Tribolium castaneum: one gene and its partner. The protein of the gene in region 1 binds, or shares a complex with, the protein of each later gene. Links are inferred from orthologs where the notes say so. Each region holds a gene or a part of one and is shown on either strand. Other genes may lie near its edges.

Evidence for each region.
Region 2: Clbn (region 1) and Nulp1 share a complex: the UniProt entries of both Homo sapiens proteins name them as parts of the ribosome quality control complex. The link is inferred for Tribolium castaneum from reciprocal best matches to the Homo sapiens genes NEMF and TCF25.

Annotation. Positions count from the first base shown.
Region 1 is NC_087396.1:12,779,190-12,789,813, reverse strand, and holds the start of Clbn (ribosome quality control complex subunit NEMF homolog), read right to left. Parts: upstream 3,349-10,624; 5' UTR 3,193-3,348; coding exon 3,137-3,192; intron 3,089-3,136; coding exon 2,580-3,088; intron 2,533-2,579; coding exon 2,369-2,532; intron 2,316-2,368; coding exon 1,935-2,315; intron 1,882-1,934; coding exon 1,543-1,881; intron 1,497-1,542; coding exon 1,228-1,496; intron 1,175-1,227; coding exon 734-1,174; intron 680-733; coding exon 519-679; intron 473-518; coding exon 73-472; intron 18-72; coding exon 1-17. Other genes in the region: Myo81F (myosin-I heavy chain), read left to right, coding at 3,729-3,756, 6,658-6,764, 9,557-9,619. UniProt on the Homo sapiens protein: Key component of the ribosome quality control complex (RQC), a ribosome-associated complex that mediates the extraction of incompletely synthesized nascent chains from stalled ribosomes as well as their ubiquitin-mediated proteasomal degradation.
Region 2 is NC_087394.1:30,817,321-30,827,708, forward strand, and holds Nulp1 (ribosome quality control complex subunit TCF25), read right to left. Parts: upstream 6,460-10,388; 5' UTR 6,306-6,459; coding exon 6,174-6,305; intron 6,123-6,173; coding exon 5,946-6,122; intron 5,902-5,945; coding exon 5,696-5,901; intron 5,648-5,695; coding exon 5,237-5,647; intron 5,131-5,236; coding exon 4,717-5,130; intron 4,667-4,716; coding exon 4,417-4,666; intron 4,371-4,416; coding exon 4,192-4,370; intron 4,131-4,191; coding exon 3,941-4,130; 3' UTR 3,822-3,940; downstream 1-3,821. Other genes in the region: Ns4 (guanine nucleotide-binding protein-like 1), read right to left, coding at 1-225, 789-1,013, 1,062-1,571, 1,621-1,831, 1,882-2,022, 2,071-2,402, 2,452-2,539; selenoprotein S, read left to right, coding at 3,030-3,087, 3,144-3,290, 3,339-3,542, 3,591-3,679; Syx7 (syntaxin-7), read right to left, coding at 7,215-7,463, 7,513-7,643, 7,699-7,946, 7,996-8,065, 8,112-8,214; transcriptional protein SWT1, read right to left, coding at 8,685-8,824, 8,872-9,259, 9,309-9,412, 9,581-9,736, 9,785-9,932, 9,989-10,388. UniProt on the Homo sapiens protein: Component of the ribosome quality control complex (RQC), a ribosome-associated complex that mediates ubiquitination and extraction of incompletely synthesized nascent chains for proteasomal degradation.

The DNA of each region.
Region 1 (10,624 bases):
TTATCTTGATCTTAAATCTAAAAAATAAAATCGATTATAATACTATAGAGTAAAAGTAACAGTAATCCCTACTTATAATTCGTCAAAGCATTATAAGGGGCCACCACAGGTACTGCGAATAGCAATTCATCATCGGCAAAAGGGACACCTGTCAGAGAGTTAATCATATCAAGCTCAGCCTGAACCACTGGTTCCTCATCTTCGGCCCCTCCATCATCGATCATTTCGGACTTTTGCACTGGCAGTATTCTTTCTTTGATTATTTTGGGTTGTTCCGGTTTTTTGGCTTTGTTTGTATTTTTGTTTTTCTTATTTTTCTTTGATTCTTTTTGTGACCCAGCCGATTGGAGGATTTCCATACGTAATTTGCGCTCTTCCTCGTCCTGATCTTTATACTTTTCCTTGATTTTCTTCAGTTTGCTTTTCTGTCCCCGTTTCGTTTGCTTATTATTCGTTTCTTCTTTACGTTCATCTGCAAATCAATTTTAAAATACGAATCATAAAAAACCAAAAACTACTTTTCGCATCATTTTTCGGTTGTTTGGTTTTCGATTCACTGGTATTTCTCGACCTTTGATTCGGTTTAACCACAACCGGTTTATTATCTCCTAAATACACAACAGTTTCGTTCTCATCCGTTTCATCATTTCTTATCACAGGCTCTGTCAAAATGTTGATTCTAAAAAGTCAAACGTTAAACCACTCGGCAAACGCCTCGGGTCACACTACAAACTTCGTTCCTTCAAAATGTTGGATCTTGATTTGAGTGTCGGGAAATTTTGAACTTTCCTCATCCTCGGAGGAGCTACTGTTTTCTTCATTTTCAATTTCCTTATCTGCTGCACTTTTCACTTCCTCCTTGTTTTCCTCATCGCTTTCATCAAGCACCTCAACTTCCACCTCATCCTTATTCTCGCTCTCAACAGTTTCTACAAAATCTTCTTCGCCTGGCGCTATGACTCTTCTTTCATCCTTGTGTTTCTCAATGCAACTTTCTTCCAATTTAAACAAAAAGCTTAGACCTAGGATCAAGTGTGATAGGGGGAGGAAATTTTTCTTGCCCCTAATCATGAAACTACCGGTACTTAAATACTCTCCGGTTGGAGCTGTCTTACTGACTTGCTCCCCCCAGACCCAGTAGGCGTTAGTTACGACTTTTGCGTCCCAAGCAACACTAAAAAATTATAAAAAAAATAGCAAAACTTTTAATAAGTTACACTGACTAACCTGTAACAAATAGCCATAGTTCCAGCCTCGTTCAAGGTTTTAGGCGGCACTGCTTGACCTGAAGGGTTTTTTATAACAACACTACTAGCACCATGGACATCAGCATGCACATAGACATCGGTCGATTTCATGTAGCGTTTGACAATCAACTCGTTTTGTTGCTGGTCTCGCCCAGCTATAACCAAGTAATTTTCCGAGCTTATAAACCAGAAGAATTTCTCAAACCAGTACACTTTACGAGCTTTATTAATATTTGTGATTGTTTGGACCTAAAAAAACAATTAACAATGTCACCCTGTGATAGCAATATCTTACGTCTTTCAAAGTTTGTTTGGTTTTCTTTTCAGCTGACTTGAACGCTTTGCTTTGCGATTCTATTGTTTTTTGTTGTTTTTTAGCCGCATTTCGCTTTTGGTCATAATATCGTCTCCCGTTAGCAAAAGCCGATAAATCCAAGTCCACATCTACCACCATGGGTGGTATTTTATCGTCATTATCTTCGTCGTCTGACTCACTATCATCTTCAGCGTAAGGGTCAGTAAGATACAGGCTAATGTGGTTAGTTTCCAGCTTTAATTCTTTGATACGCTGGGCGATTTCGTCGCCTTGTGAGGCAGCTTCTTTGATCAAATCGGCCAAGTCAGACCACGAAATCTATAAATAAATCAGTAAAAACTAATTTAACCAATGACTTAAGTTTAATTTACCTGAGTGGCTAAAGCCGTCTGGACCGCCAGAATAGCCTTATCAACAAGCTCCTGATTTCTCGTAATGAGCTCAGCTTTCTGTTTGTCAATTTCTTGTGTTTTTTCTAGAGCAAGTAATCTCTGACTGTGATCCTTCTTCACATTTTCTAATTTCTTCAGAGCTTCCCGTTCTTGTTGTAAAGCTTTCAATTCAAGTTTTTGGCTTTCCAAAGATGAGAAAAACTCATCAACGGCTGAGTTAAACGAGGGAAATTCTTTGGAAATTGACGATTTATGTTGTTCGTACAGAACTGGATGAAATTCCTGATTTGAGTAATAATATTCTTTCTCAGAGTTATCAGCACTCACTACCCTTTCTTCCTTTTTTTGAATTATGTAACCCTGATTATAAAAAAATATAAAAATTTGTATAAAAGACTGTGAGGCCATATTACCTTAAAACCCGTTTTTTTGGCCTCTGAGAAAAGATTTTCGGCTTCTTCAAGAGCGCAGAGAACCTTATCGACATCACTTTCGATATTAAATGTTTTTCCGATTTTGGTGCTATTTGAAAAACCTTGTTTAAGTAACACATGCTCGATGAGAGGAGGGCCATATTCTAGATATAAAAGTTAATAAAAAATCGTAAAAATCGCCAATTTTCACCTAAATTCGGAACGAGCACTTTTTTCAATTGATCTCCGTTTTTCGCAGCCTTTAAAAGTTGAACCAGCTCATCTCTTGTGATTAAACTGCTCTGCCTAGCCCTATCCTGAGGGTACTTTTCCCTGACCACAAACTTAAACCTGTCGCCTTCAGTATGCGGTCGCAGGACATTTAATATCGTGAATTCGAAATCAGTCAAGATGATATTGCCTTTATCGTACAGCTCTAGAATAACATGATACGCAGCTTCGCCTGAACCAAATTGGAAATCGACAATTCTGTCTGTGCCCAGTTGAGCCAAACTCTCCAAGCGTTTATTTTTCAAGTGCTTTCTTAATTTCATGCTGAACCCCGAAGGGGCGACATTTTTGGGCCATTCAAAGCCGGTTTCGTGAAACCTATTGCCTGATTCTAGCAGAATTACCGCTTTTTCTTCACTTCTTTGGAGTCTTATCAGGTAAGTCTTATTGTCAATATCGTAGACGTTGTTCACTCGCATTCCGACACATCTGCAAATTAGAAATAAGTGCCAAAAGAACAATCTTACAGAAAAATACTTTTGGAGTTCTGTGACGGTGCAAATAATATCGAAGGTGTTGAACCGAGTTTTCATTTTGAAAACGGCAAGTTTTTATTTTTTGTTGCTTCCAGCGGAACAAAATTTGACCACGTTGTGTAATTTTATTACACCTGGTGCACAAAAAAATAAAAACACTCAGCTGGGTTTGACGTCTGGCAGGTGGGACAACGCTAGCGCCACCCGTCACTGGGTAAAGTTATGCCCACTTGTGTAATTTGTTATGTAACACGAATTTGGGACCAGTATTATTATTAAAAAACGATTTGAAGAAGTGCCAAACTGTTTTAGTTTTTATTGTAACATTTATTCCGGTTATTTGAGGGCAGGTTCCTGGTTTATCGACTCGTTTTCGTTTGTTTGGCGCTGTGGTCGCAGCACCCCTAGCTTTCGCTTGCTTGATTTTTTCATTTCCAGTTCCAGTTCTCGTCAGACCCTCGAGTTGTTAGTTCTGTTCTGTTTAGTTGAGTGTTGGTGTGTGCAAGCTCTCTTTAAAATGTTCGTGTATTAATTTTTTCGTGATTATTTTCTCTACCGAAATGAATGTTTCCCCGCTGTAAGGATTAGTAACAATGCAGGAATTAAATTTTACTTCAACGAGTAAGTGGAATTTTCGCAACCCCTGTATTTTTAAGGGCGGCATTGACATTTGCTGAATTAACACGGGGTTTTTTGCACTCCTATTAATTCAAAGAACAGTTTTTTTGAAAAGAAACGGTAATTTTTTTCAAAATTATATTTTTTAAGTGAAAAAAATAATAAATTGCGATGGGAGTGGGTGCAGTTGTTTTTCGTTTTTTATAGCACACACCTAGGGATGGGGTTTGTTTAGTGGTTTACATTGCCCTCGAGATTTGGCACACATTTTGCCCCATTTAGGTAAATGGGGGAGGGTTTAGAAAAATTATGATTGTCGATTTATGCATGCGAACACAGTGGGGTTCAAAAGGGCGTATTCGTCACCAAAAAGATAAAAATTATGCTCGCAATTACAGAACGAAATAATAAAATTCAATAGCTATCCAGACAATATTTTTGTATTAGAAATAAAATATGTCAATCTGCGTGATTCAAAAACCAGGTTTTTAAAAAACAATTATCTCTAGAAGGGCAATTTTCATCCCTTTCCCCGACTGGATTATTTGTTTAATCCCCTTTGTAGCCAAACTTTTAAATTTTGATTCATTCGTTTTTTATGATCTCGGCTCAGTTTATTGTTTACATTATCTTGGGAATTAAAATTTTCATTGTGAGGAAAAATCGCAATGAAATTTTTTCTGGCAACACGGAAATTATGAATGATTAAAAAAACTGGTGCTTAAGTGGGGTTGGTAGAAAGGAAAATTTACTTCTGTCTCACAGCTGCTAAAACATACGATAAATAAAATTTATTTCCTCAGTTGGCCACGGACCAAGATTGATTCGTACAAATTTTATTTCTTTCCGAACATCAAGTTAAAAATAGCTTAGAATTGATTATACCTTTGGTATAAATAGGTTTTTCAAGAAGTCGAACTGCTATTTCGTTGGTTTTTGCTTTATGTATATTAAAAGATTTCATTGACCTCACATATTATAATAAGACTTTTCGAGATTTCGACTGAATGTGACCTACGTTTTGGAATTAAATATTTATGTTTGGTGTTATTAAAAAAATGCAAAATAAAAAAATTCAATACCGAATATGAACTGAAACCCATCATTACTTGATCATCTGATCCGGCAAAGCTGAGAACATGAAATTTAGAAGGAAGTAGAATCATTTACAGGAAGATAAAGTAACTACGTGTTTATACATAGGTAGGAAGAAAAATGAGATTGAGATATTAACCCGCTCCTTTTAATAATTTGATTTAGAAAAAAGTCATACCATACTTCGTTTAAAAAATATTATTTTTTCAGCGTTATTTCGAATGTCTTTGAAGAGTTAGAAGAGTCTTCTAGTGTCAAAAGAGTCTTGAAGAGTTAGTAGAGTCTTTGAAAGATCTCGTTTCTTTCCAAAAACTGAAATTATCCAAAGTTTTAGCAATCTAGACATTAGAATTTAGAATTAACTTGTTTCGCTATTTAGAAAATTCGCGTTAAAAATTCTATTAGTATACTAATAGCTGTTTTAAAACTATAAAAATGCCAACGTCGCATTTTACCGAATATATTTTTTTTTAAATAAGGTTGATAACGTTGTAAAAGAGTAGTGGTTGAAACTATTCTCACTGAAACTATTAGCTATTAATTTTTTGAAGTGCTGAATAATTTAAAACAACTAATTTTGAGAGAAAATGCGACTTTGGCATTTTTATAGTTTTGAAACAGCTAATATGTATTTAGTACTAATCTAATAAAAATACGAACTGAAATGTTATCCTTCGAATTCCAAGAAGTTTCCAAAGTTTTTTTAAAGTTATTTTTACCTTATTTAAATAGAAGCCAATCCTTCGATCTTCTTAAATGTTCTCTCATTGAACAAACTCATTATTTTATTTATTCAACTATAAAATATTTTTTGTTAGTTTTTGAAAATAAATTCAGTGTCCATATGAACTTCTTCTTCCTCTTATGAACCATTGAAACATCTTTTCGGTTTTTTCTTTAACAATTTTTTGTAGTTAAAGACTGAAGACGAATAATTTTGTTTATGTGTTACCTAAGACAGGAACACAGAATTTTTTGCTTCAGAATTGAAATACGTTAACGAAATAATTTATACGAGTAGCTCAACTTCTACTAGCTAAACAAACATGGCATTAATTTTATTGAACCTTAAAAATTTAAGGTGTTTAATGTTACTTTGAATTTTTTTCATTTGTTGGCAGAAAAGTGGCGAATTACTTCGTCTTTATTTAGAAAAGTCCATACAAATTGTCAGGAATCCTTGCCTAATAAAAAAAAATGAAAAAAAAGTTGGTGGCCCCCAGTCCTTGAAAATCCGCTTAAGCACCGGAAAAAATGAAAATGGAACACTAATTGCAGTTTATTCAAAGCAATGGGTGTGTAATGACTAATGACAGAAGTTAATTTACGTTGAATAAATTAATTCCAAGACAGGTGTTTTCCTTCCGAACTCTCGAAAATGTCTCGGCTCGTTGTTGATCCTGTTTTACTGCCACCTTTGACACCATCACGAATACGTTTTACGGCTCGTTTTCACCGCATATTCTTTAAATTTCTTTCCCCTTAGTCATCTTCCGTCCCCTGGGCCGACATTTTCTAAATTAAACCATCTGTGGTTGCTTTGAACCATCAAGAACCAGGTAGTTTGGCTAAATTCCAAACAACAATCAGCTAAAGAGCTGGACGCGCGGAGCAGATGTTTTCGACACGTGCCGCTGCCCCAGGCCCCAGCCATCAGCTGGTGCAGCCTTTAATCAATCTTCTATTTCAAACAGGTATTTTTACAAAGACATCAGCGATTTCACCACAATAAACAGCAATGTCAGTGACGCCTGATGTGAATAACAAGCGCATATTTCAATGGTTTATTGATAATTGCGTTTATTTCAGGCGCGATGCCCGACGATGGCGTCCCGGACATGACACGGCTGACAATCCTCGACGAAGAAGTGATAAACAAGAACCTGAAAGTGCGCTACGAAAAAGACCGCATTTACGTATCCTTTTCACCTCTGAGGAATATTTCATAAGCGTGTCGCGTCCGGACTAGAAAAACTAAATAAAATCCCATTTTGAACAACTCGCGCCCAATTCGCATCGATTTCCGATTTGCGTGAATGTCATTGTCACGATGTTGCGTCAGGAGGAATCTAACTCCGGTTTCAATGTTACTCAGATCGAAGCTACCGGAACCGATCTTAATGACTCAACCTTATAGGTTTTTTGACCCAGAAAAATCCATTGATCGGGGTGATTCATTCGGGAACGATTTGAAAAATTTCGGTTTTAATCATCGAGCGCAGAAATGTTATGTACAAGGACGTTTTTTCCGGCACCAGATTGCTCGGGAAAAAGAGTGCATGTTTAGCAGATGAGACAAAAGTTATCTAATTGCGAAGAAAAGTTAAATCATTGGCTTCTGGGGCTCCATATGACGCGATATTGCTCCCTTGCAACTGACATAAAATACCCTCGTTATCTCCATATCGTTCCATTCTGTCAAGTTAACGAATCCGAGGGTGTTGATTGTTGAACGATGACAGGCTTAAGCATTTTTAAGCCGAATTCAGGGTAATAATCAACAATAAAACCAACCCTTAATCGGTCCGCATTGTTTTACGACAAACGAAAGCGCTACTCGAGTGAACAAAGTGGGAAAGAAGTAAAGTAATAATGCGATTCACAGACTCTTTGTTCATTTAAATTTATCACTTATCGCTAACCTGAATATTGTTATCTATTTGCACTAGGGGTACCTTTTCAATACACACTTTCTTCCTGTTTGTCTAAATAAAAAACAAACATTGTGTTTACTACTGTTTACATTTACACAATTAGAGCTATAGTTTTAAAATTTGAAATACGAGCAGGAAAAAAATACAAATTGATAACGGACGGGACATGAAAAAGACTTTACATGGTATTGTTAAACAATCGTTTTAAAATTCTACTAATTTAAACCACGAAACCGAAGAACAAGGCAATATGTGACGAATTCTGATTTTGTTTACACATGACGGACGGGCCAAAAAATCTTTTGTAAGAAAAAAACTCGAAAAAATTTATTCAAGAAGGTTTTTATTATTAAAATCTTTAACAGTATCAAAATTAGACAGTGGAAATTAAAAATTGTTGGTCTTATTTCACGACGTAAGAAATAAGAAGAACGTATATTTGTTTGCAATAACGGACGGGACATGAAAAAGATTTTACATGTTATTGTTAAACAATCGTTTTAATATTCTGCTAATTTAAACCACGAAACCGAAGAACAAGGTAATATGTGACGAATTCTGATTTTGTTTACACATGACGGACGGGACAAAAAATCTTTTGTAAGAAAAAAAAACTCCAAAAAATTTATTCAAGAAGGTTTTTATTATTAAAATCTTTAACAGTATCAAAATTAGACAGTGGAAATTAAAAATTGTTGGTCTTATTTCACGACGTAAGAAATAAGAAGAACGTATATTTGTTTGCAATAACGGACGGGACATGAAAAAGATTTTACATGTTATTGTTAAACAATCGTTTTAATATTCTGTTAATTTAAACCACGAAACCGAAGAACAAGGCAATATGTGACGAATTCTGATTTTGTTTACACATGACGGACGGGACAAAAAATCTTTTGTATGAAAAAAACTCCAAAAAATTTATTCAAGAAGGTTTTCATTATTAAAATCTTTAACAGTATCAAAATTAGACAGTGGAAATTAAAAATTGTTGGTCTTATTTCACGACGTAAGAAATAAGAAGAACATTTATTTGTTTGCAATAACAGACGGAACAGCAAAATTTACGAAGATAAAAAAGTAATATTACTAATCAATTTATTTACCGTTTTCCATTTTGTAAACTACCAGAAATAAGAAACACATTCTTCAAAAATTATTCAGCAGTTCTAGTATGTACATCAGCTGTCAATAGTATTTTATATAATCGCCTACAAGGCAATGTGTGTAAATTTCAGAATCCCCTCTCATTTTAAATTCATAACAAAAACAATTTTTGGCGGAACCGAATCCTGTATTTTGAAAGAAAGTTTACATTCTAAAATTATTTTGAAAATTTCGCTTTCAGCTTAGCCAAATATAATTATGTATTTAAAGCAAAATCTTTCATAAGACAATTAATAATTTGTGAATTCCCTGCATGTGGCGATAATTTATAGCGAGATAAGTCACAGCAAATATTACCTTAAATGGTGACTCACATTGTCACAAATGTTATTCTAGCATTTCTATGTAAACACAGGTCCGAAAAATTTCGGTAGTGTTTAAACACAGTTATCAAAACCTGACTCATAAATAATGGTCTCAAAATCAAATCATTCATTGAAAAATTAAATATTGGGGTTCGCCAACTACGGACTACAAACCGTAATAGGGTCGGAAAGGGCGGAAATTAAGAAATAATTAATGTAACACCATCGGAATCCAGGATAAATGTCTGTTAATTGCGAATGAAAAGAAACCAATTTCTATTTCGGTAACTTCAATAATTAACAATTATCAAATCAATACCTGACTTGTCAGTTTTAAAAACTTAATAACTGACCTGAATTGAAACTAGGGGAGGCTTTGTATCTTTGTAGCGCAAGACAAACAGGAAGACATGTGCTTTTATAATTACTCTCTTTTGCTTTTGATCTGAGCGCAGCGCGTTTGAAGCAAACCAGAGTCTTATCACTAGTGCGAACTAATCAATTACACCCCCTTTCCTGGTGAATATTTTCGCACCAGTTGAGCAGGACCGGACGTCCAATATTTTCCTTAATTGGATTTAGACATACACCGGCTCAATCCTCGTCGCAGTCAACCCTTACAAGGACATTGACATCTACTCTCAAGTAAGCAAACAAAACTTTTTCAGATTAACGATTAGCATTCGTAACACGCGAGATTTCCGGGCATTGTGTGTCACCAATCATTTGCAAAGAGTTTAATTTCGCGCCGTAACATCCAACATCCTCTGGCCTCCCACGCCTTGTGTTAAACAAATTAACTTTGCAAAAAACAGGAGTGTTACACGTGTGATTGTCTCGGCCGTAATTTAGGTTAGAGAAGGGGTAGGTTGATATCAGCGAGGGGCTGTATTGATCAAGGCGGTGGCCACCCCAACGCGTATAAATAAAGATAAACTATGGCAAAAGCCGAAAACAGAACGAGACGCAAACTTGAATGAACCATCCGATTGTAAACGGTTGCTGGCAAGCGGTTTAATAAAGAACCTCTTCTTTATCGTTACGTCTAAACGCATTGTATGGCCATGCGGGCGGAATAAAAAGGTCTCGGGGAGACAATGCCCACTTACGGTGGATTTTGTTTCCTCTTGAAAATTATTCTAATGAAATTTTAACTGTGACGACAGTTTTTACTAGAGGACTTCCAGGCGCGCAGCCAGTTGAAAATTGTCTCTATTGAATCATGATGCGGCTTGAGAGGAATACTCATGAGAGACCTTTTTTCCATAAATGCATACCGTTTTATTTTATATATGCATATAATGACTTGTTTACTGCTGGAAAGTTGTACGGGGTTTCTTTGTTTTGATAGAGAATAATCGACAATAAACGAGCATTTATTTGTGTTATTATCTTGCTTGTTCTTTGGACATGTCTTGGCACTATCGCAATAACGATACGAGTTTTATTGAATTATGCGGCAGGGACGGATGTCCGTTATAGTTTTGCAAATTCGTTATCAGAGGAACTTGCTATCAAATCATCGAAGGAGCTGACCACAGTGGGGTTTTTTAATCATGGAAAATTTTCAGTAGGAAGTTGGCAAAGTTAACAACATATTTGTTGTTCCGAAACATGCCCATTCTCAATTATTTGTCAATACCAAACAAC
Region 2 (10,388 bases), on another chromosome or scaffold:
CAAATTTATTGTGGGCGTAATTCGTCGGCTCTTCATCTGAGTCAGTTTCTTCGTCTTCGCTTTCTTCACTGCTTCGGTCTTTGTGGTCACCGGAGGAGCCCGGGACGTTGTCTTCATCTGAAGCATCAGAGAGGTAGTCTTTGTCGTCTGCGAGCTGAGTGGAATCGTCAGATTTGGCCTGAATCCACTTCACTTTCTCGATCTCCGGGTGTGAGGCCCAATAATCTAACAAATAAAACATAACGCAGTTTCAATTTCTTTTCAACCAGCGTTTGCCCGGAATTTTCATGATTTTCTTATTAGCTAGATCTTGGACAAAAATCAGTGATTCACGTATGCCTTCTAAACATATTCCAAATGTTATTCAACTGAAAACCTTTTATTTTATCTTTTATGTCAAGAGATAAATAAAGACAACTTTTTGTATTGGTTACATGCTGATGAGCAGGATTCTGAATCATATTTGATACGAGTTTGTAAGACAGGCACATAAACGTACAAAGTAATCAAAAATCTTTACATATAGCCACAAAATTAAAAATTATTAAACAACTATTAAACTTGGGAGTTTCAAGTTTTAATGCTAGTCAAAAAATACTTCCAGTTACCCCAAAAAAATTATATCGCAACGATAGAATTTATTATGAGGAAACGATTGCAATTTTCTTCAAAAACTACATTTTTCAATTAAAATATTCCGTATGTTCCAAACGAAGTCAAATGAAATAAAAAAAAGAAGCAATGAGACATCTTATACAAAAAATAACGTTGTTCGACATGTCAACTACCTTTTTTATTTGAGTACTTGGGTGGCCTGAGACACAGGCAAATTTTCCCGTCCAAAGCCATCCTCAGTAAATCATTTGCAGCTCTGTAGCTGTCCAACCTGGCGGCTTTGGCTGTCAGGAAACCCCGTTTTTTGGCCCAGCCATCACAAATGTCCATGGCACACCAAGTATCGTCATTTTCTGGATGTTCAATCCTCAGCATATTTGGTAGATCCATACGTTCCGCTATAAAAAATTCTCAAAACTCACAAGAACAAAAATTAAAAACAATACCTAAATACTTTATCGTTGTGAACGGCTCCCTAAGTTGGGCGATGGGGAAACTCCCCATCAAAACCTGTATAACCTTTGGTGTTTTCGACGGAAAGACTAGACCAGGACAGTCGCACAGCCGCACATTGGGCGTTAAAAAAATTGTTTGGAAGTGTTTCGTATGGCCTGGAGTTCTGGACACGCTGACGACTTTCTTCCCCATGATTGCGTTAATAAGTGACGATTTGCCGACGTTGGGTTGCCCCAAACAGCCGATTGTGAGAATACCGTTTTTGTATTTTTCGTGTTCGAAGTAACTCGTGTCCACTGCTTTCATTTGAACTGTTTCTCCAATTTCAACTTTCTCGTCTTCATCGTTTTCGTATTCCAAATTCATTTCTTCCTTTATTTTGGTTTGCCAAGAACTTATGTCTATATTATCCCCAACTATGGTTTTACAAACTTCAAACAACTGTTGACTCCCTTCTGCAGCCAATCGGAACTTGCCTTTGCGTTTACGGACTTGGAGACCTAAAATTAACAATTAAATCTTGTAATTAATTTATTACACACTACAAACCAGCTCTATTCACTTGGGTGCCAACTAGATTATAGCCAGGGAGTGTGGTAAACATGCAAATGTGCAAATTGGGGTAATTCTCCTCAAAGTATTTTTTCCACGCCACGACTAACGGCGCTGGGGCCAAATCAATTTTATTCAATACTAAAATAAAGTCTTTCTTCAATGTTTCAGTCACGTATTCGTACAAAGATGGGGGAAACATGTGGGCCTACAAAAAGTAATTAAAATTTAATAAAGCAAATTGGGAGGCAGAATTACGGGATATCTGATATCAACAATGTGCAGAACAATATCTGACATTTCGAGAACCCGCCACAACTGCCGCCACGTCTCCAAGTTCAGTTCAAAGAAACTTAACTCTTTCCAATTATACTTTTCCAAGATTCCATTAACATAATCCTGAAATTAACCGATCAGACAAAATAATGTTAATGACAATAACCGTACATTAAAATATTTGGTTTCGCGTGCTTCGAGCTGTTCAGTCGTGAGCTCATATGACCACGGGGGCCTTCGAGGAAAACCCAAGTCTTTGGGAAAATAGTCATTTGAGTCAATTTCCAGCTCTTTCTCAGAGACAGGTTCTATGGTTTTGCAAGCCTCTTCTTTACGTGCTTTGAGCTCAGAGGGAGTCTCGCGGTAAAACTGCAAGGCATAACGGTTGCGGTCTCGCCCGTCCTTAGGGGGACAGTAATTGAATTTTTGAATTTGGGGCTGATCCTCACTATCACCGGCACTGGTCTTCAACAAAGGCCGCCGGTTTCGGGAACCAAAACCTTCTAAAGTGGTTACAATTAGAACAGTTTTCTGCAAAAAATAAGAGGGTACCTTGAGGGGCGTTCTGTTTGGACTGTTTTTTGGCCTTTAGCTGCTCTTTCTTGGCTTTGCCACTGAACGGTTTCTTGCGCTGAGGCATTTTACTTACTGTGCTGTGAACCTGACCTTAAATTTTTAACAGTTTTAAACATTAATTAACACAATTACAGCAACACTACTTTTTATTTTAAAATCAACGAATTCTAGAAAATCACATGGAAGTTACTAGAATCCCCTAGAACCATAGGACACTTGTCAAATTTCAAATCTCATTTTAAAATTTAAAAAGAGCGAATTTACGTTTTTTGTGTGAATTTTGTAAGCACAAAAACGCAACAACATGTGCTGCATATTTTAATAATAATCATTACAAATTAAATGTAATAATTAACCAGATTAACATTTATTTGTCCAAAAAAACCTTATTAATCAAGAGCGCTTGCGTCAATTTTGATTTGACACGTCAGGTGACATTGACATTATTTTGACAGTTTAATAATTAAATTGTAGTTTGTTGTTAATTATTAAAAATTGCAATTGCATCGTAACAATAATATTGTGGAACATTTATATTGAACAAACTGGGAGCGATGGACGAGTTTGAAGCCTTTGAGCAAGAAAACGGCTTCTGGAATCCACTGAATTCAGGTTAGTCCTTAACGCAAAAAAAGGAAAGTTTTGGTAATTAACATTCGCATTTTTAGTCATTTACATCCTTGAAAATTATGGCTGGTATATGCTAATTGCTTGTATAGCTCTAGTAGTGGTATACCAGAAAACTTTAAAATCTTACATCCAAAAACTTAGGGAATACAAATTTGAGAGAGACTATGCGGCTAAATACCACAAGAGTAAGTTACTTTACGAAATTTAGATCGTTTTAACTGGTTTGGCCCCAGATCCCGATGTTTTTGCTGCACATGTCAGTGCCCAACAACAGTGGGCCCAGAAACTCCAAGAAAAATATAACAAAGAATCTGAAGAATATCAAAGAAAAATGAAAGAAAAGGAGGAGAAAAAGCGAGAGGAGCTTAAAAGGAAGTATGAGACTTCTGGGGGTCACGTTTTGGGTAGGAAAGATGATACGAGTAATTTGCGACCAGGTGAGTGTAACACTTGCTGAGTCATGATTTATTGATTCGTTACTGTAGGATATAACCCACTGATGGGCGCTGGAAGTTCGTCCAATTATCGCCCACCTAGGAGAAGTCCTTGTGGAGGCGGAGGATGTGGCAGATAAGACTATCACTTTTAAATAATTAAACTACACAATTATAAATTATTTTTTTAATATTACACTATTGTTGGGCTTTACTTAATTAATTAATTACGAATCTATACTAGAATTAATAATTTAATAACATAACTGAAACTACAAAACGGACAGATTATCAATTTATTTGGTTATATCATAATTGTAATAATAAACATTTTTAGAATATAGCAACAATAAGGAAATAAAAGGTTTAGTGTTTTCTTCACTAGCGAATTAGACTAATTATTAGGTAAGGTCGTCGTAATCTTCGTCAACATCAGCGTCGTTCGGTACTTCCATTTCTGGGGGCCTTATGTTGTTCAACAAGTCTCTCATTGCCCCAACCAATGATACGACACTTCGTCTAAAATCTCCAGCGTCATTGTTTGCGTTTTCGTAAACCGGAAGAGCTGCAGCGCCATCTTCCTCTCTCGGTCTACAAAAAAATTCCACTCTGCTAACTGTGGCTGCGAAAACAACCCAAAAAATGGACTTACGGGTCCAAAAGATTTGGTGGAATCTGATTGGGATTAAAGTTGGGCAAAATCGACCTGAAGAAAATACTTAAAGGAATGGAACTATTATTTGAGACTGTTGGCCGTTTTGGCTTGGTGTAGATGTTGATGGAGTCTTGAGGGGGCAAAGGATCGAACCCTAAGACAGGTCCGCTGAAATCCTGGAATAACAATTAATCCCATGTGTGGTTTTGCACAAAAAATTACATCAGTGATTGGTGTTAGATCCTTGATGTCTGAGAGCAGAATATGTCTCGCTATGCTCCTTGGCAGGGAGCCTTGGTACCTTTTGGCCCGTTTCGTCTCATAATCCTTCACAACTGGGTCATTTTTATCAACTCGATCCAACACTGCGTGCACATTGCGTTCCAGCCAGTGCATCAAATCGCTGTCTTTCCACACATGGTAACACCTACTCACATACAACTGGATCAGCTGTGTCAGAGCGGCCGATTGTCTAAAACACACCCAATATACCCATCTGTTTACATATCACTCATCAATTACTTGTTTTCGTTAACTGAGAAGAATTTGTGCGTCATTACCCTGTTGTCAATTTGCACTGAGCATTTTTCAAGTAAAGGCATGAGTACGCCGGGGAACATTAACAACGCGTTCTGAAGCAAACTGTCGGCTTTGGCCGTTTCGCCGTTCGATGTGTGGAAATGGGCCACGGCTGTTGAGAAAGCAAAGTTTGGGAGTTGGGACAAGTTCTTTGCTGTCTCCCATTCGTCAGCAAAGTCAATCAGCCAGTTGTACTCGCGGGCACGTAAAGCATAAAAGTCAATTGCTAGTTTAATGGCAAGGGGGTCGCCGTCGGGGTCCAGCGAAAGGAGAAGCTTGCAGAACTCGAGGGCCGTTCGACAGCAAGCGCGGCCCCCGACGAAAGTCAGGTGCTTGAAGATTGTTATGTATAAAGCCCTGGAACGTAGGAAAAAACTTTCGATTACAATGCAAAATTTTACAGTAAATTACCAGGCGTTTAAATATAGTAATCTTTTTATTAAAATTTAAAACAAAAATGTACCTGTTTTCCTGCCTTCTGTAGTCCAGCCTGCAGTTTCCTTGCGCAACATTGAAAAGAGGGTGAAAAGCGCACTCCAGGCAATAGAGCGCCCTTTCAATAAACTCAGCTGCCATTGCCAGATCCTCGCTCAATTTACACAAATCTGACAACTGTATCAGGGCATCAATGTGGTAAGGGTGGTCATTAATAATTGCAACAATATTATCAGGATTTAGACTTTCAACTGACTCAAGAAACCTGTTCTGTATCTGGCGGTAACTCTGACTGTGTTCGTAGGTAAAATATTGAATCCCCTGTTTATTTTCGAGCAAGTTCATGGAAAGTCCCGACTTGCCCACTTGGGGCCACGTATCTTTACCACTTACTAGCCACGTTGTCTTTGTATGTCCCCTCCCTCTGTTTTTTCTTTTGCTACAAGAAGAAAGTCAGAAGATCGGGCTTTAAGTGACTATTACCTACTGTTCAGCTTGGATAATTTTTGAGCCAAATATCTTTTTCAATTCATTGTTCGGGTTCAAATGTTTATGTTGCACGGACAGAATGTTCTTATTGTGGACATTTTTCTCGTGCTTGGTGTTGAATGGAGGAGCTGAGGTGGTTTTAGGCAAGTGGCTTTCGCCCAAGAGTCTGTTCACCTCACGAACTGATCTCTCGACTTCGTCGATCTAAAAAGGCAAAGTAATGTTTAACCCATAACTTTGGGTCTTACATCAGCATTGTCCTCGCTGCTTCGCTGCGGATTCACATGTTTCCCTGACTTTTTCTTCTTCTTCTTTTTCTTTCGCTTGACCGCCTCGTGGTTTGGGTCCCCTTCACATGACTTGGCAGCCTCCGTTTCATTGTCGTCTTCCTTGACTTCGCTCTCTGAGTGTGACTGTTGGTTCAGCTGGAAGATGATAATTAACGCAAAATTCGCGTTACTGGAAGGGGCTGTTACCAGATCGTAGCGATTGATGTTGAGTTGTTTTCGTCGGGCACCCCCACTAACAGGAATGTCGGTTTCTGTATCAGATATTTCATCCACAATGTCTTTATCCCCCTGTAATTTTCGCAACACTCGAGAAGACATCACAAGAACAGTAACTTCGCTGGTGACTTGTCTGCTGTTTTATTTCTTTTTCAGGAATATTTTGGTTATCCTTTCCGCAGGAAATCAATGGACTTCTGGAGATTTTTATTTTGATAGATTTGACACACGACTTGTACTTAACCTATAAATCTTTTTGACGTTTCTCCTGTAGAAATTTTGGATTTTTTAATCATTTATTTTTTATAATTGCTTGTTTATGGAGCTTGTTTAGCACCAAGGAATTATTTTAATTTAATTAGTCAATTTACAATCTACACTGAGAACTAAAAAAAATCGATAATCACCAATCCAAGTTCCAGGATTTTTTAATAAAGTAGACTTTTAAGTAACAACTTTTATTTAATACAATAATGGTACAAGTTTGGTGGAATAGATAATTTCTATGTTTGTCTATACTAAAGTTAAAGCATCAGATGCATTTATAATAATCAGAAATAATAAAACAATTAAGCCTTCTTCAAATACAATAGTACCTAAAATATGAACCTACTGTGTAACAAGAGTAAAAACAAACAATAAATGTACAAAAATGCCTAAAGTTTGTAAAATATAACGCATTAAATTAAATTTATGATCAAAGCGGCTTGTAAGTTTCAGATAAGTTGGCTATACTAAGGGGCCACTGATCAAAAATTTAATTAAAAACATGATAAAAATTTGGAGATTATAAAATAGCTTGAAAGTTTCTGCAACAATAAAGTAAAATCGTTACAATCTAAATAATAAATAAATGAGTTAATATCGTAACAGTTTAAATAGAATGACCTTGGCACTGAATTTAAACTGTGGTAAAAATGTACAGCAAAAATAGACTTCGTACAGCTGGATTTAGTACATTTAGATATACATATAATATACATTTCGTGATAGATCCAATACCATTTGCAATTAACTAGTTTTCCAAATAATAATTATAATAATGATAGTTAAGATAACAGCACCAATAATACCAAGAATCATCTTCTTTCTCCTAATTTTATTTTTGTAAGTGCTAGCCTGGTGTAACTGCTGGGCACCTTCTCTCACAAAATCGCTAGTTCTCTCCACATTTGCTTCAATGCTGTCGATAACTTCGCCTTGTTCGTGGACAAGAGCACCCAACTCTTTGAAAATTTGATTGACATCGTTAATATCACTCTAGAACAAATTGTACAGTTATCTATTTTTTTGAGATAAAAGCACATACTTCTAACTGTCTAATGGACTGTTCCTGCTCTTGGAGGGCTCGTAACTCTGATTCTTCTTGAAGTTGCACCTGCTCTTTTGCCGCACTACTGTCTTGTAACTCGATCAATTGTTCGTCTTTTTTATAGCTACCTAAAGTTTAATGTGTGATAGAATAAGCCACTGCTTCCTTCAATAATGAACTTACTGAGGAATGGTTCGCCATAAGCTTGGGCTTTGGCTTTATTGACTTGTTCTTTTTCCTTCTGCGCTGTGCTTCTCTGAGCAGCTTGGAACATGTTCAGGGTTGAAGTAAACTCATCCTGAAGACGTTCTCTTTGCATTTTACGCTGCCGTTGCTCAGACTGGGATTGGGACGGGGATATGGCGTTAAGGTCCTTAATGTAACCATTGGTGTCCTTTACAAGCTGTTGGGTGTAGTGCTGAATGGAATGGCTGCAAAAACTTCAGTAAAAAAATCAATGAATAATGTTTTAGTACGTACAGCTGTTTTCTCAAATCAGGTGAGTCTTGGTGAGTGCCTATCTGGTTTACCATGCGTTGCATTGACGAAACTGTAAAAGCCACTTAATACAGTGATCAAATGAAGGAAAAAGTTACCATTTTGCGATATTTTCTGTATGCTAGTGCCAATGGTTTGAGCCAACTTTTGGAAATCCTGCTCTCTGTTCTGCCCCCCGTTTTGGTACGAAAAACTATCCATATTTTATTGTTTATTAATCTCTTCTGTAAAATCAAACACTTTTATCATTATGATTTGTTTGCTTGGACTAAGGCAAAGAAAGCATAAAACGTTCCATGTCTTACCTAAAACATCAAATAAAATATCGTATTGTTAATCGGAAAGTAATAATTGTTATTTTATTTGCACTTTTAATCAATAACACTTGAGATTGTGAGTCACTGCTTTTATTATTTGACAGATGTCAAAAAATTAAAATCTCATTGACAGACAAGAATGTAAACATTACGGAAATAAATTTCCAAAGCTATACGAGGTATCCTCAAAAAGTAACGATCAATTTTTTTATTAACATAAAATTGGTAGAATTTCAAATAAAACATTTTTTTAACAAACATAATACAATAGTTTATTCCTGAACGGATTACACCGTGGAGATAATAGTTAAACAAATTTTTATATAATTTTAAAGAAAGATTTTGCAGAAAACGCTAAGAATTTTTAAGACTGTTTAAATCCCGTATCGTATTCTCGGTCATAATTTTACAGCACTCGACGTCCTTCAAAAATAGACAAACTCTTAGACAAAGTCTTATGAGGTCATTTAATTCTTTTGAGGTATCATTTATAGCTAAAAAATTAAAATCATTAATAGGAATTTGGTAAAATATAGCCTACTTGTGTGCTGTGATAGAAAGGCTGAAAGATCTTCTATGGCATTCTTACACTGTTTCATTACTACTTCTTGAAACACAGGAAACCAGTATTTTGTAAATGTAGCGATGCATTCAGTTAAAGTCTTTGATGATGGCTGACATATTGGCATTCTGTTACAGGCTTCTCCATAGGCATTTTTAGCGCATTCACGAATTACAGTATTACATAAACATGTCATGATATTTAAAATAGTCGCTGATTTATTCTGCGTTTTTGGCATTATTTCTTGAGAAAGCGGAATATTATTCTGCATTTTTTGTATTTTAAACATTATTTCTTTAGATGAGCATACGGGAATTTTATTGAAATGGGCTTTGTTTTTTAAATTAATGTCATTTGTGAGGAGAACCTAAAAAATTAAGTCACCCAAAATAATTCGATGTGGATTATTGTGTTACCATATTTTCATATTTTTCTAAAACTTGCATACAGCAAGCAATTATTTTGTTATCTTGATTTGCACCTACACTTTCCTGTTCATTAGCTTCCATTAGTGTCTGCCCTGAAAAAATAATTGCTATTACTTTTGTCACTGCTTCCTTATCCAATGAAAAAAGTACCGTGAATTTTTTGTTTACTAGAGCGACTCATGTTAAAGAATAAAAATAAAGTTCAATGGTCATAATAAAAAAATGCAAACACTTCTACGTGAAACATTGTTTCAGTATACCTTTCATTCTATTATGTTTACTACTCATAGTTTTTTCTATTAACTTGATGGCATCTTGAGCTTTCTGTCTGAGGCTACGTTTGTTTGAATCGCCCTTTATAAAGTCTAACTCTTCTGTAACAATCCAGGGAATGAAAATGACTGGCTCCCTGGGTCCTATAACAAGTGTGATAAATATTTATCCATTGTTACACATTTCTTTACCTTTAACAGCTAATGTAACAATGTTAGCAATTATATTCAGCTCTGATAAGAATATATTCGTGTCAACCACAATATAAAACTGACAAGAACTCGTAATTTGTGAATTTAAAGTATTATCACTTGTGCTTTTGGACTCCTCAATATCAGTCTAAAAAGACAATTAACTAGAATATTAAACTGAATAATTAAATCAAGAGAGTATACAGGACACCATTCCATATCCTCTTCTGAAACAACTGCTGTCTGTTGAAAGCCAACAGCAAATGGATTTGGAGATTCAGTGGTAAACACATTCGTTTGTGTTAGAAACTCTTCTTTAAAAATGAAAGGAGTTCCAGGTTCACTGTTCGAACATTCCCCTGAACTCGAGGCACTTTCCTTAATAAACAGTTTTGTAGACACTTCATGTTGCACTGAATCAGTTGGTCGTTTCCGCACACAATTCTTGTCTTTAAATTTTGGTACAGATTGAGCAGATTTTGAAACTTCTTCATTTAAGCTAGTCCTAAGCCTCTTTAACCTTTCATTAGCTATGTTCTTTTTCGGCGTAACACTAATGGTACGTTTCGTTCCATGTTTTAAATGACTATCCTCTTGAACAATT